Linked DNA regions of Oreochromis niloticus. The protein of the gene in region 2 purifies or fractionates together with the protein of the main gene of each other region. This does not show direct contact. Links are inferred from orthologs where the notes say so. Each region holds a gene or a part of one and is shown on either strand. Other genes may lie near its edges. The genes, in order: camkk2 and obsl1a.

The links.
Region 1: the proteins of obsl1a (region 2) and camkk2 purify together in Homo sapiens (affinity purification with mass spectrometry; 4 studies listed by BioGRID and IntAct, with this or other methods). This does not show direct contact. The link is inferred for Oreochromis niloticus from reciprocal best matches to the Homo sapiens genes OBSL1 and CAMKK2.

The regions. Positions count from the first base shown.
Region 1 is NC_031972.2:24,902,933-24,910,093, forward strand, and holds the start of camkk2 (calcium/calmodulin-dependent protein kinase kinase 2), read left to right. Parts: upstream 1-3,928; 5' UTR 3,929-4,257; intron 4,258-4,420; exon of another isoform or gene 4,421-4,600; intron 4,601-7,161. Other genes in the region: snrpd3l (small nuclear ribonucleoprotein D3 polypeptide, like), read left to right, coding at 824-949, 1,645-1,837, 2,278-2,342. UniProt on the Homo sapiens protein: Calcium/calmodulin-dependent protein kinase belonging to a proposed calcium-triggered signaling cascade involved in a number of cellular processes. Isoform 1, isoform 2 and isoform 3 phosphorylate CAMK1 and CAMK4. Isoform 3 phosphorylates CAMK1D.
Region 2 is NC_031986.2:17,450,389-17,457,481, reverse strand, and holds the start of obsl1a (obscurin-like protein 1a), read right to left. Parts: upstream 3,086-7,093; 5' UTR 2,651-3,085; intron 1,236-2,650; 5' UTR 1,162-1,235; coding exon 1-1,161. UniProt on the Homo sapiens protein: Core component of the 3M complex, a complex required to regulate microtubule dynamics and genome integrity. It is unclear how the 3M complex regulates microtubules, it could act by controlling the level of a microtubule stabilizer.

The DNA.
Region 1 (7,161 bases), on a different chromosome or scaffold from region 2:
GGGCTCAAAAGGTAGGGAACCGCGTCTGGCGCACGTTGCAACGTCAAAAGAAGAAGCAATAACAAAGAAACTAGCTTTTACGATAGACTCCAGGTAAGAAACAAAAATACTCGTAATTCAACTGAGACTGTAAATTTTTTCCATGCTCATTAGCAGCGTTGTTTGTTTCTTGTGCGTGTGAATCAAGCGCGTTCGTTCAGGAGCCAATATGGCTCCGTCTATTTGCCGAACTAATAACTTATTACTGCAATAAAGAGGCAAGTGTTAATGTTGAAATCGTATTTGTGTCATTTTAAGTTTAATTTGTTACACATGGCATTAATTGGGTTACATTATTGTATGCAACCAGGATATATTATTGTCCATTAGCCTAGCTCGCTAATGAAGGCTAATTCCTCTCGCAGCTTCGATATTCAATGATTTGACTGAGAGATTCGCTTTATTGATCAGAAGTTAACTGTAGCTTGCTCATCCCATCTTAACGAGGGTCACTGATTGTTATATATTAACTCCCAGCAACTCTTTAAACAGTATAAGAGAGCTGATTATCGTTACACAGGCAGTACTCGAGTGAAAAATAAATTGGCGAGGATAATGATGTGTGGACAAGTGAAATGGTTCCTGATTGCCTCTCTGGTGTTTCTGTAACTAAACGCATCGCAAAATTAACAAGCCAGTTAGCCATACAGTTTGGTTACAGTTAAGTGTGATGTTTGATGAAAAAAAAAAAAAAAAATGCGTTTCCAGGAGCTTACAGCCTGTGAATGTGCACAGTGTAACATTTCTTCTGCTAAATTTTGTTTTCCAGAAACATTCTTGAAAAATGTCCATCGGCGTTCCAATCAAGGTCCTGCATGAGGCAGAAGGCCACATTGTGACCTGTGAGACCAACACTGGAGAGGTTTACAGAGGCAAGCTGATCGAAGCAGAGGACAACATGAACTGCCAGGTCAGTACATGATAAAGAGTGGAAAGTGAATGTGGATGGTGCTCCTCCTTACGGGGGTCCCATCAACCAAACTGTTGGTACTGTATTGTTTTTATGATATTTTTTTTTTTTTTTTTTTCCTCCCTTAATTAGAGTAATCAACAGTTTAGTCTTTAATAGGCTGCTTGATCATTTGAACAAGTTTTGTTTACTTTATTTTCAGGTAAATGCCCCTAAATGGCTTAAGGTCTTGTAAGGCAACACCGATAGAAAAGCTTAATGAGGCTAAAAGGAATTGCATTACAAATAATAGTGTCTTTGTTCTCTGCGTCTCTCTGTTTTCCCTTTAGGTAAATGTAAAAGGACATCTGAATGTTCAGGTTCAATTTGTGGTGTTTTTATTTTAATTATAACATTTATTTCTAGTTTTTTGTTTATATTTATTTTTTTCCCCCGTAGTTGTTTAAAGGTTTCCAAGCTTTCCACCTGATGGTGTCAAAATAAGAGTGAATTGTGCTAATCAAGTACTGGAGACCTAGATCTGGTAGCTGCATTAGTAAGAGCCAGTTAATTAAAAATTGGTCCCAGATCAGATGGTAAAAATCTGTTCCTTTTATGGCTTTGTAAAGTTTAGATAACTACTGTTGACTTGAATAAAACACTAAAGAGCAGTTTGATTACATTTGTTGAAAGAATGATCTTTCTGTTTCTTACAGATGTCTAATATCACGGTGACTTATCGGGATGGCCGCGTGGCACAGCTGGAGCAAGTTTACATCCGTGGCAGCAAAATCCGCTTTCTGATTTTACCCGATATGTTAAAAAATGCTCCTATGCTGAAGAGTATGAAGAACAAGAACCAGGGATCTGGTGCAGGAAGGGGCAAGGCAGCTATTCTTAAAGCACAAGGTGGGTGAAAATTCGCAGTGGATTGATACACCTGTCAGTATGTTCAGTAGTGGGAGCAACTGATGGTGATTTAAACTCACTGCATGCATTGATTGCCTTTTTGTGTTTGTGCAGCATAACTAAATCCTACCATGAGAAAAGTGCTTTCTGTCAGTGTTGCTCTGTTCCTTGTGTAATAAGTACAGTCTTGTCATAGGTGCAGGGGATCTGTCAAAAACACTGACTTAAATGTTTCATTGTTGTTCAATTTGTCTTCACATCCCCTTTAAGATAGAGCTGATATTTTGCCAAGCGGGTGTTAAGGATACAAAATTAGACTTCACTGTACTTCTCAAAGTACTGAATGTATTATTAAGGTTACTGAACAGTTTTTCTGGTTCAGTGAGGTACTCTACATTAAAAACTGATAGTATGCCATCTTTGTTTTTTGTGCTCTCCAGTGGCTGCAAGAGGACGAGGGCGTGGTGGAATGGGAAGGGGAAACATCTTCCAGAAGAGGCGATAATTGCTCCAGCTATATTAACATTTTTGCATTGTATAGTTTTTGTTTCCCCCTTGAATTTGATATGTTGGATATCATTTGAAATCTTGTACTTTGCAGTCAGTTGCTTTAATTTCTTTTTTTTTATTAAAATAAAAGTTTTTCAATTTGATGTGTCCTGATGTTTTTGTTTTGTTTTTCTTCTCCCACTTACAAGAGATTCACTTGTGCCAACAGTCTTATTTCAAAACATCCAATATTTAATAAGGAATGTACTAGGAATGCGGTGTTTAGCTTTATCCAAGTAATTTCAGTGTTAAACCCTGGGTTTTCTGTACTATAAAAGGTTACCTGAGTATATTGCCATGTTGCCTTCTGCTGTGGACCAGATAAAATCGGGCCTAAAATCACCACATACTAACCAATCAATTCTTTGGAAATTAATTTTACTATTCCAGAGGAGTCCTTGGCCCTGTGCAGATGGCAGCATTTAAAGGATTTCAGCACCATCCAGTCTTTTTTCCGTAATGGGCATCAGTAGTAAGTACTGCATTGATTCTTAAATGCTACCTCTCTTGTGTTGGCTGCAGACCTTGTATAAAATGTGCATGTAGCCTAAGCCTACATATGAATGTTGTTTTTATCTTTGTTTACGCTGACCTTTAAATTCATTGGAATTCAAAGGTAGCTAAAAAGGACAAAAACCAAAAACACTTTTAAACATTAATGAAATGCTCAATTATAATCCATGAGATTCTTCCCCTGTTTTAATACTAGAAATGTGATATTGGAAAGTCTGTTAACTCGCATATCATTTTCAAGTGTTGTTGACCAAAACACTCAAAGTGCTCACACATTCATGCAGAGCCTTTAATACTTAACTACTGTATAGCACTTCTTGTTTCAGAAACTGACTTCTGATTTCAGTCTGCATTCTGTGTTTAATATGTTACTTTTTAAAAAATATTTTTATTGTAGGTTTATCTTCCTTCATCTCTTTCATGTGAATGGTCAGGCAAGACCCTGGGTTACTTGACACCAGATTTGTGTTAGAGGGATTGTGTATCTCACATTTTTTTGATGCATAAGTGTAGTCTTTAGAAAAACAAACAAACCCAAAATGTTTTGGTTTGTAAATTAACTAGTTAAATTGTGACCATGAATCATCTTTCAGGATTTCAAAGTCTGAAATTCGCAGCAAAATTTACCTTTTTTTTTTTACTAGTTTTCCTGAGTTGTTTTAAATGAATGCAAAAAAAACTTAGAGTACTTTTATACCAAATGCAGAGCAAGCAAGATCTTGAACTTGATAGTTAAAACAGTGGTTGCATCACTCTACTGTGGAGACAGTGCCGGAAGCTTAATGATTTAAAGATAATGGCTATCAGAAGCAACCACATAGACACAAAGGACGTGTAATGAGAGTGGCTTGGCTGTAGTGTCCTGGTAGCCATCACAGCCATCCTAAATATAACAGTCTTATTATATAAGACCTCTAAATAAAATCGGCCCATCATTAAAGAGCCAAAGCCAGTTTATTTTACTAGGTCCAACTCTCCAGTACACCACAAGATGGTGCTACTAGGTCATAAAGCATTTAAGGCAGAAACGACCAGGAACCGTCAATGTTATATTTAGAACTCGTGAAATAAAAGAAGGCAAAAGGGCAACGTAGCCCTCAGCGGAAGTAGCTTAGGTTGTTTGTTAGCACATAATAGCGTTACGTTAAATGCCTGCCGTTAACATTTCCTCCATGTGAAGCACGGGACCTGCGTGCTCAGCTGGATTGGTCCGTGAAAATATCGGTTATCAGTCTGTTACAGTCTCCGTTTCTCAAACAGCTAGCTAGCTCTTGCAGGGCAGAAGCTACTCACACAGCAGACGAGGAAGGAGAGGGAACCTTACATTTCTAAATTGTAGGCCTAAATAACACGCCAAGGTAAGGTTTTTGTTTGTTAAATCACACAGTATATATACAGTTTTCTTTCTTTCTTTTTTCTTTAAAAAAAAAAAAAAAAAAAGATTGCTTCCTGCATCTTTGCCAGCGGCTGTAGCATGAACGTTACTGGGACGTACTAGCATCACTGACTCCTTCATCCACAACATCTGTATCTTGCCAGATGAGGCAGCTGCTAACGTTAGCTGAGCTGGTTGGCTTAGAAGCTCAGAGCTAAGTTAGCTTAGACTTGAGACGGCGGTGACTTTGTGAACGCCTAAACAACACCGGAGCAGCTTAACCGCTTTGACATTTACAGTCGATGTAGCAGCTCCTATCTGTGGGTGTAAGTAACACGAAACCCGGTGGTGCCAGTTGCATGTGCTATTCTTTATCGGTTATCTCAAAGATTGTTTGTGTGGTTGTGAAATTGCAGAGACAACGAGTCTCGGTTTAGTCTCAAATCTTCATGTTGGGCTCTGGTAACATCTAATGTTATCGCTTTTGGGAAGTTGCGCTGACATATTCTTGAGGAGAGAAAGCCTCTGATGGCACACAGAGTCCCCGATGTTATTTATTTTAGTTATCATTGTGTTATTTTTTGTTTACTTGTATACAAGTAATTTTAGTCTTTTGGAAAACAATTTAAAGTGTGTATATATATATGTATATATATATATATATATATATATATATATATATATATATATATATATATATATATATTATTTGACACATTTAACTCCTGGCATCACTCTACAGAATAAATTGAACTTTAACTTTGATATAGTAGGTTTAGTGGTTATTTTATAAGGTTAGCCTTAACCTTCCAGTAGATACAGAGTAGAAATGTGTAGAAACACATTTAATGTGTTGTACCTTCATTCTGGAAAATGCCCTTTAAATTTACTTGTATCATATTTTTTTAATGATTATGATTATGATTATGATTATTATTATTATAATTATTGAAATTCTTTATTTTCATTCAGCAATTTATGTTTTGAAGGCTGGTGACAGAACTAGTAAAATATGTTTACAGATTATTTTAAGTCTGTCCAATAGAGAGGTAAAGAGAGATAAGGTGCACACTTTAAATAATACATAAATAAATAAGTTAGAGTAAAAAAAAAAACAATAAGAAAATTAAAATCCAGTTTAATAGGTTTAACATATTTCACCCATTAATTAATCCCATTAACCTTTTACTCCCAGTTTCCTTAATCCTTTCCATGGTATAAATATCACTTACTATCTCTGTCCCCTCTGTGGCGGGGGCTCTTGTGTCATATCATTAAAACCGTTTAACAGGAAATGGCTGATATTTGATTTGTGCCATTGTAACGTAGGGCATGACTGATACATATTTTCACAGAGTCTTTGTGGAGTTTGCATTGCTGCCCCTCCGTGAATCCACTGGAGGGCTGTTAAAAGGGAGATCTTTTGCTCCACCATTGTCAAGTGCTTTCGTATCAAGGAGGCTCAGATTGGCGGGCTTCTCTCTGTCTTTATCTTGCAATACAAAGCAGCTTGCTACATAAATAAAATTGAAATAAGTTCAATTTAATGTCTGGGTCACCAAATGAGTTTTTCAGATTCTCTCTAAATTGTGCTGTGATTATGTGGCAACACTGCAGCTAAGTTGATCAAGGACAATAATTCCTCCATTTACAGGAGCTTATCTCTTGCACGGTGCCGGACATCGCTGACAGTGTAACCCTGTTGATCTTTTAATGAAGCTGGGGATCCTCCTCTGCTCCAGATGGCCCTGTGTTGTACTGGTATTTCCATAACACAGTGCCTGTGTTGTTATTAATGCTCTACATGGCTTGGACCCCCTGCAAGTTGTGATAAGTCCTCTCTTCCCCTCCCATCCTCTCCTGGTCGGATAGTGACGGGCAGGTCACATGATTTTTGTTATGGTAAAAGGCACGGTATGGCATCTGGAGCTAGGCAGCATCTGTTGGTGTTTCTCGAGGCTCAAATCTGACTCCTTGTTCTTCGTCGTGCTGCTGTGATCCGCAGGGATCAGGGAAGTTTTGGGCTTTAGCCAGCAGTTCAGTCATTAATGATGCACAGTGTCTTTGTACAAAAATGAAATTGAAGTCTGTGCAGTTCTCTTGTATCACAGAAACTTGGTGACCTTTGAGGTAGCGTATTTATCTTTAGTGCGAGGGAATTGGGAGTTTGCAGTTTCAAAAATGACTTTAGCAAATAGTGGATGCGAAATATTGTATCAAACCAACTCATCATGATTTCAGAATCTGAATCAGAATACTTTATTGATCCCTAGGGGAAAGTATGTAAGCATGCAAGTACAACTCCTGCTGAAAACCCAGACTTTCTAGGTGGGAAACGAGATTTGCAGTAATATTGTCTTGTCTGACTAACAGTTATACTGTCAAGTTAGGAGTTTATGCCATCATCAGTTATGATAATGCATAAACACTTTTTTGTTTTCATGGAAACAGGCCTTGTTTTGTGTCATCTGTGTATCTGTGGGTCAAACTGGGTAAGTTATCACTCACTTCTACTCGGAATACTTTTTTTAATGAATTAAAACCAACCAAAAAGTGTCTGCTTTTAATAACATTTCAGACGTTTTCAGATGTTATTAAAGCCAGAGGTGTTAAATTGACCTAGAAAAAGAAGCAAATAAGCAACATTTATCCTCTACAGCAAAACTGAAATGAGAAGTTTGTGGTTTTGAAAATGTTTAAACATAACAGTTAAAAAAAAAATGTAAAAAATCACAAGGTGGTAATTTTTTTAAAAGGGCAATTTAAGTGGCTAAAGAGACTAGGCAGTGAAAACACCCAGCAATTTCAGTTCCTTCTTATTAAACTGTTATTCTGTAATGTGCAGCATTTCTTTTCCTCTTTTGTCAGTTTACATCACAATAGTACT
Region 2 (7,093 bases):
GGTGTTTCCCAGCGCATTTGATGCTGCACACACATACAACCCTGTGTCCTGCACTTTACAGTACAGCACCTTCAGGGTGTAGTAGCCCTCTCTGTCCTCAAATATCAGATGACGTCTGTCGGGCTCTAGGGGAACTCCGTCTTTCTTCCAGATGATCTCAGGTTTTGGCTTCCCTGTTACAAAGCAGCGAAACTTGGCGTGTTTCCCCTCCGCTACTGCAAATTTCTTTACTTTTGACCCATCGACAGGTGGCTCTGCTGTGATCCTTGACAAACCGGGCCTCCCACCCCTGTGCTTTGGTGACCACTGGCTGTTAGTGTGACCGGTCGAGGATGTTTTGCTGTCCCCTCGCTCTGGTACAGGTTCGACAAGAAGGACGGCCCCAGCCAGGGCCTCACCATGGCAGTTGACGGCCTTGCAGGTGTAGACGCCTTTGTCGGGCATACGCGTCCGATATATCTTGAGTTGGAACCAGCCACCATCTTCATTCCTCATGCTGAAGTGAGAACTCTCAAAGATGTCATTGAGTTTCTTCCCATCCTTTTCCCAAATCACCTCTGGCAGAGGGGTCCCCCAGATTTTACAGGAGAAGGCTGCGTCTTCGCCCCGATCCACACGCAGAGACAGGGGCTTGATGAGGAATCGCGGTCTGTCATCAGATGTTAGATCAACCTCTGCTTGTTTTTCGCTTAGCCCGCTGTTCCATCCTCCATTCAGTTCCCCTCCATTTGCCTTGCAGTGTTCACCATTTTGCACTGCATTGTAGCCATTTAGGTGTCCCACAAATTCTCCGTTTTCTTGCATAGGTTGCGTCCCACCATTGACCACTAACTGTCTTGCGTCCTCATCTTGTTGCTGGGCCTCTCCTTCAACTTTAAGGGACGCTGCTGCATAGGTTTCTCCTATGCTATTTCTAGCCTTGCAGATGTACTGGCCAGCATCCTGCTGGGTCACTCTGGTAATGGTCAGCAAGTAAACCTTTCCCTCCTCTGAGATCTTGTAGCGTCCTTCAGACAGGATCTGGACATTTTTGCGTTCCCAGATCACATCTGGGCGTGGGTCTCCACCGACTTGGCACTTCAGTGTTGCATCTGTTCCACACTGGGCCACTACAGGACGTGGATAGCCTAAAACACGAGGTGCGCCACCAAAAATATCCATGGTGATGTCACCTTTTATTTGGGTCGAATGAAGAAGTTTCTTTTCAAAATGATCTTCTTATGTTTTGTGAAGAGCTGAAAGAGAAAGAAGATTATTAGTTTAGTAGACTGATTAAAATCTGCCATGAGTGCAGCTTTTGAGTTCAAACCCCAAACCACCATCTAAACAGTAACTGTGTGTTCATTGTGTCCCAGATGGGTTCATCAGTAATCTGACTCAAACTGAAAGCAGAATGAAGAGTGAACAGTTTTATAAAATACAATAATATTATTAATATCTATTTATTCCATGGTGTATCTTTGTCCTGCCTTCCTCCTCTCATCACCAACCTTTTGCAGCAGATGGCTGCCCCTCCCTGAGTCTGGTTCTGCTGGAGGTTCCTTCCTGTTAAAAGGGAGTTTTTCCTTTCCACTCTCGCCAAGTGCTTGTTTCAAGGGGGGTGGGGGGGGGGGGGGGGGGGTCTTCTTATTGTTGGGGTTTCTCTCTATTATTGTAGGGTCTTTACCTTACAATATAAAGTACCTTGAAGTGACTGTTGTTGGTATTTGGCACTATTTAAATAAAACTGAATTAAATCAAATTTTAAAAATTTTCAGAATACTCAGTATAGTTCCCAAAGCTGAAGTAAAGAAGTTTAGTAGTTTTACGAGGTGGATATTGAGCAAACACTCTTGGTTGTCTCACAGCTGGTGCTGTAGCTCAGTGAAGAGTGTATTTATAAAGCAGTCTGTCCAAAAAAAGATGCTGGAGCCTCTGTGTCACATAGCACACAAACACACCTGCAGTCACTAACTAGGACCAACTAATCCCTTATATACATTCATGTGTACAGAATGTTGTTTGCACTCTTACTGTTGGCTTCTCTTTGTCAGCTCATTGTAACATTCTAGCAACAACTTAAGCAATTCAGTATCTAAAGCAAGGGTGTCAAACATAAAGTCTGGGGGCCAGAATTGGCCCGGCAAGGACTCCAATCGAGCCCACTTGACGGCTTTTGAAAATGTGAAGGAGGTAATAGATTTTGGCTTATAACTGTATTTTCAAAGGTTTTACAGCCTTTATGACTGATAAAAACCTGCCCCATTACCATTCACGCTAAGCCAAAGTTATTTAGTTATAGATAAACACAATGTCAAATGAGTTTGACATCCCAGATCTAAAGCTTTAGCCTCCATTTGTAATGCAGCTGCCACTTGTCTCTTTTCATGGCTCATTTGTTTCCTCTGTGTTGTCACCACCTTTCTTTTTGCATCAAGAACGGCAGCCATTTGTTCTCTGTGACACATCACGCTTAGAAATCATCTAAAGAGCATAAAGTCATACAACTTTATGACAGGTAGAGGCACATCCCAAGCTTAGTCAGTCTTCGAATGTTTTGTTGGCACATGTAAAGAAAAGATCCTCCTCCGGCATTTTCAGGAGAGAATTACACAGTGACACAAAAAAGAGCTCAACAGTTTCTAATTGTGTCGTTAAAGTTCAGACTTACCGCTTTAAGAGATGCTGTCTTTAAAGCATTTGTCTCTCTTGTGATGCCTTAAAATGTTATTCTTAAAAATACAAGCTGGCATCAGTTCACTTGGATGATCTTTGGTGCTTTCTTTATTCTGTGAGCATTCAAGAAGCACGTTTAGAGTCTTCAGCTCATGTTCCTTGTTTTCCTGGTTTGTCTTGTTTGGAGCGCCTGCTGGTCACTGAACACCAAAGCAGCTGAGAAAAATGGTATCTTCCATTCACATTTGGTGGTCCAGAGTCATAGTAATATCTTAGTTGTGTCCCCTCAGTCTGGTGTTGGGTTGCAGGTGGCAAGGAGTAAAATGACCACAGCCTTTCAGCTGAGTGCCTGGTTTATGCGTCAGCTCTGATACTGTCATTGTCCAATAGCTAAAGAGTGTGGTGTGAGAGAGAGCTAGCTGGAATTGGTGGTGGGGGGCAGTAAATGCTTTTGCAGCTGCTGCCACTGCAAGCCACCCCCTAAAAATACCAGCAGCTTCGATGACAGTGAGCCAGATAAAGTTAGGCTCTCCATTGACAGGCTATGGTTCACTAAAGATAGAAGGGGGCCGAGCTCTGCGATGGATCACTCAGCTTAAAAGATATCCTGAGTTAAACCTTTAGAAGAGAAAGGACGCCCTGCCTGCTGGAGCTCCTTGCCTCATGAGTCACGCTGACCCATAAATAGGGTCAAATTAGTGTCACACATTAGAAAATGGTTTATACTGAGGGATGATCAACAGATGGAAGCGAAACAAAGAGTTTGGTGTCATGATAATGCAATTCACGCTAAACAGATAAAAGACTATGTTATGGTGGGTTAGGCATTTGGATACATGGCCATATTATTACCTTTTTACTGCATCATCAGTTAATGTTACACAATTGTAACATAGTAACTACCATAATTTTTTGTAACCAAGCAGTGTTAACAACTCATATTAATACGCTCCACGCCCTGCGCTTCATCTCTGTTTTTGTGTGTGAAAAGTGTTTGTATGTTTTGTATTTCAGCTCATCTCAGTGATAAATGAGTTATATAACACTGTGATTTGAAGAGAAATAATACGAAAAATTTCATAAGGTGATAACACTTATTTTAATTCAGGCCCCTTTATGGTACAAGTCTGGACAGGTAAGTCATTCAGAAGACTATAAATTGTTGGAAAAACTTAAAACATGAAACAAGATGCGTAACATACAACTGGAGTCAGATTTCAAACTACGTGATCAAAAACTAATCAGCTCTCCAGTTGTGTCTAAAAGATACACAGTATAGGTGAGCAGTACATGAACACTAAATCCATGTCATCATCTTAGTATTTTTATTTCCCCCTGCGAGCACGGGTGCTTGTTCACTTATCAATTGTCTCCTTCCGTGGCAGATTTGAATTTGGTGTTGACACATATTGCCTGCATTCTCAGACAACAGCTCTCTGCCCTATCTCTTCAAGTGGAGCGTTTCGGACAGCCGAAGCCACAGATACACACTGCATGCAACCTGTCGTCACGGATATTTGACCTTGAATACAGGTCACATAACTTCGACCCCTTTGTGACGGCGCTGAATTAACACACAATGCCATGTCAAGCACAGACTAAACTTTCCTAAAGTGCGAGTATAATGATGAGAAATTCATATTTATAGGGTTTTAAATGAAATACGCGATGTGATCTATCAAGCATGTATCACTGAACAGATGAATTAATACCACAGTCATTTGGAGGAGTCACACCACACTGCTCGCCCCATTTAAGGCTACTTATACCTCTGACATTACAATCCATGCGGTCATCCCCACAGCTGTTAGGTGTACCAGGAATTAAAAGCACAGTTCTGCTCTTTGTCCTGAGATTGGGTTTCAATATCAAAAGCTGAAGAGGATTGACTGAGACCTTGGGGTCTTTAACAATATGTCAATCATCCTCGTTTCAAACCAAGGAAACTATTTTTCTGTGCTGTGTTAAAGTTATAAAAATATTCATATAGAGAGAATGCTTAGATTTCAGAAGGTTAAAAGCCTTTTGTGCAACACTAAGTTAAAAGCCATACACAGAAATACTGGACTGTTTTTCAGTACTGTCCATTAGATGTGTTAAGTTCTTATTTGTAGAGCATGAAATCAAAATAGAATAATCATTCTGGAAAAGTGTGGCCTTCTCTGGACAAAAGAGAGTTCAGTTCTGATCACTGCTAAACTGTTTGTCATTGCAGTCTTATTAAGATGGTTGATTTTACTGGGAATCTACAGAAACATTATGGTCCCAGGATGAAGTACTTATGTCCCCAGAGACTAGAGGAGGCACGCACATGTAGACAGACCGGACCTCATCCTTCTCGAACTTCATCACTGCTGTAAAAGACAAGAGTGAAGGTGTACGGAAAATGAAAGGGGTACTGAACTGGCAGATGATATAGACACAGACATCAACAACAACAGAGTCAAGTGATCACCCACATTTAAGCTCTTCCGCCTTTTCCATGCAACCAACAAGCCTGCTGGGGAAAAAAAAACTTCTGTTTATATGTGTGAGACAACTCCAAAAAAGTTCCAAAGAAATCCATATTTTATTGCCTTTATAATGTCATAAAAACTACTGACTCATTTTGACTTTGATGGCAGTAATATGTCTCAAAAAGTTGGGCAGCAAAAGGCTAGAAAAGCAAGTAGGACAGGAAAGAAACAGCTGGAGAAACGTATTACATTGCTTGGGATCAGGTCAGTAACATGACTGACTAGGAAAAGAGCGTCTTAGAGAGGCAGAGTTTCTCAGAAGTAAAGGTGAGCAGAGGTTTGCCTTTCTGTAAAAAACAGTGTCTATAAAATTGACTACAGTACATAATATTATCAAAAGATTCAGAGAATCTGGAGAAATCTCTGTGCGTACTTGTAGAAATCTGTCTGTGAGCACAGTTTGCTGTACCATCTGTACCAAAATTTCAGTTCATATCATCACCATTATCACAATAGAGAAAAGTGCTTGTATGAATGGGTGCGAATGGGTGAATGAGACATGTTGTATAAATCGCTTTGAGTGCTCCAGAAGAGTAGAAAAGCACTATTTAAGAATTAGTCCATTTACCATTTAACTGTGACCTTGGAGGTCATTCTTCCACTCTCTTTCGGGGAAATTCAGGCAGCTTTAGTCTGAATGCGAGTAACATTTCCTTTTTAGGAAAAGCTTTCTCAACAAACACTGCCACACTGTCCCAAAGTCCCGATTCAAGTGACCTGAACACCGCGTGACAGGGCTGACTCATTCCTAATTTGCAAGTCTTTGCTTCCAGTGACCCTCTTAATTTTATAGTGGGGGTCTTGAGCAATAGTTCTCCAGGTTTTTGAAGGTATTTCAACGTTCTTCTATGCACATTGTCTGCTTTTTAAAATTTTTTAACCTGTTTTCAGTCCAGTACTCATACCTATTTTCAGATAAATGTTTTTGTTTGTTAAGACAAATCATTCATCATTCAAGCATGCAAAGGCACCTCACTCAAATGATGAACTGGTGTTGTGTCATAACAGCTTAGTCATGGATTGGCCTCCCTGGAGCCCGTACCCAATACTATTGACGCAGTGTGGGATCATCTCGAAAGAGAACAGAACAAAATGAGCTTTGGATGTCCTTCAAGAAGCCTGGAGAACTATTTCTAAAGAATACTTAAAAAGAAATTACAGAAAAGCTGCCGACAAGAGATCAGGCTGTGTTGAAGAATAAAGGGGGTCATACCAAATATTGACTTTCAAGCTTGTTATAGTTGTGAATTGCCTTATTTACTGCTATACACTTAAAGTTTGCACACATTTCACAAAATTATTGCACCTAGTTCCCATTTTGTTTTTAGCAAAACATAAAGAAGTGAAGCATGGTTCATGACTTTTGCACAGCCCTATATAATCTAAGCCCCACAAGCCAGAAAATACATCAATTTGATTTTGGGGCAAATCATATTTGTAGCTTTGCAAGACCCAGGTAGTCTTGAGTGAAAACTAAAAACAGCCAGCACCTAAACCTGTCCATAAGCACAGGAATAAATATGGAAGACAAACCCTTGAAAACCCAGATTCATCATAATGTGATGCAGCAAAAACATTTGTATTTGAAAAATTTCTTTAAAAAAAAATCTGGAAAAGTCACATGACATTTAGAATTAAAAATATAAACACAATGTGTTTATATTTTTAAGTTTGGAGTATTTTTAGTGGCAGTTTTCGAATTGTTCTGTAAGCATAACATCGACATCAGCAGTGAATATACCCTGACTTCAGATCAAATAAGACCTCTCTGGTTCCTAAAGTCTTTTGGTAAAGAAGTTTTTTTTTTTTTTACAAAAAATATATATAAAAAAGACATCAATCTAGCATAATATTATGTTGGCTAGTAAATAAAAGGGGTGCAGGCAAATGTTTGGATCTAGATCTTTTGTGTGTTTTTTTCC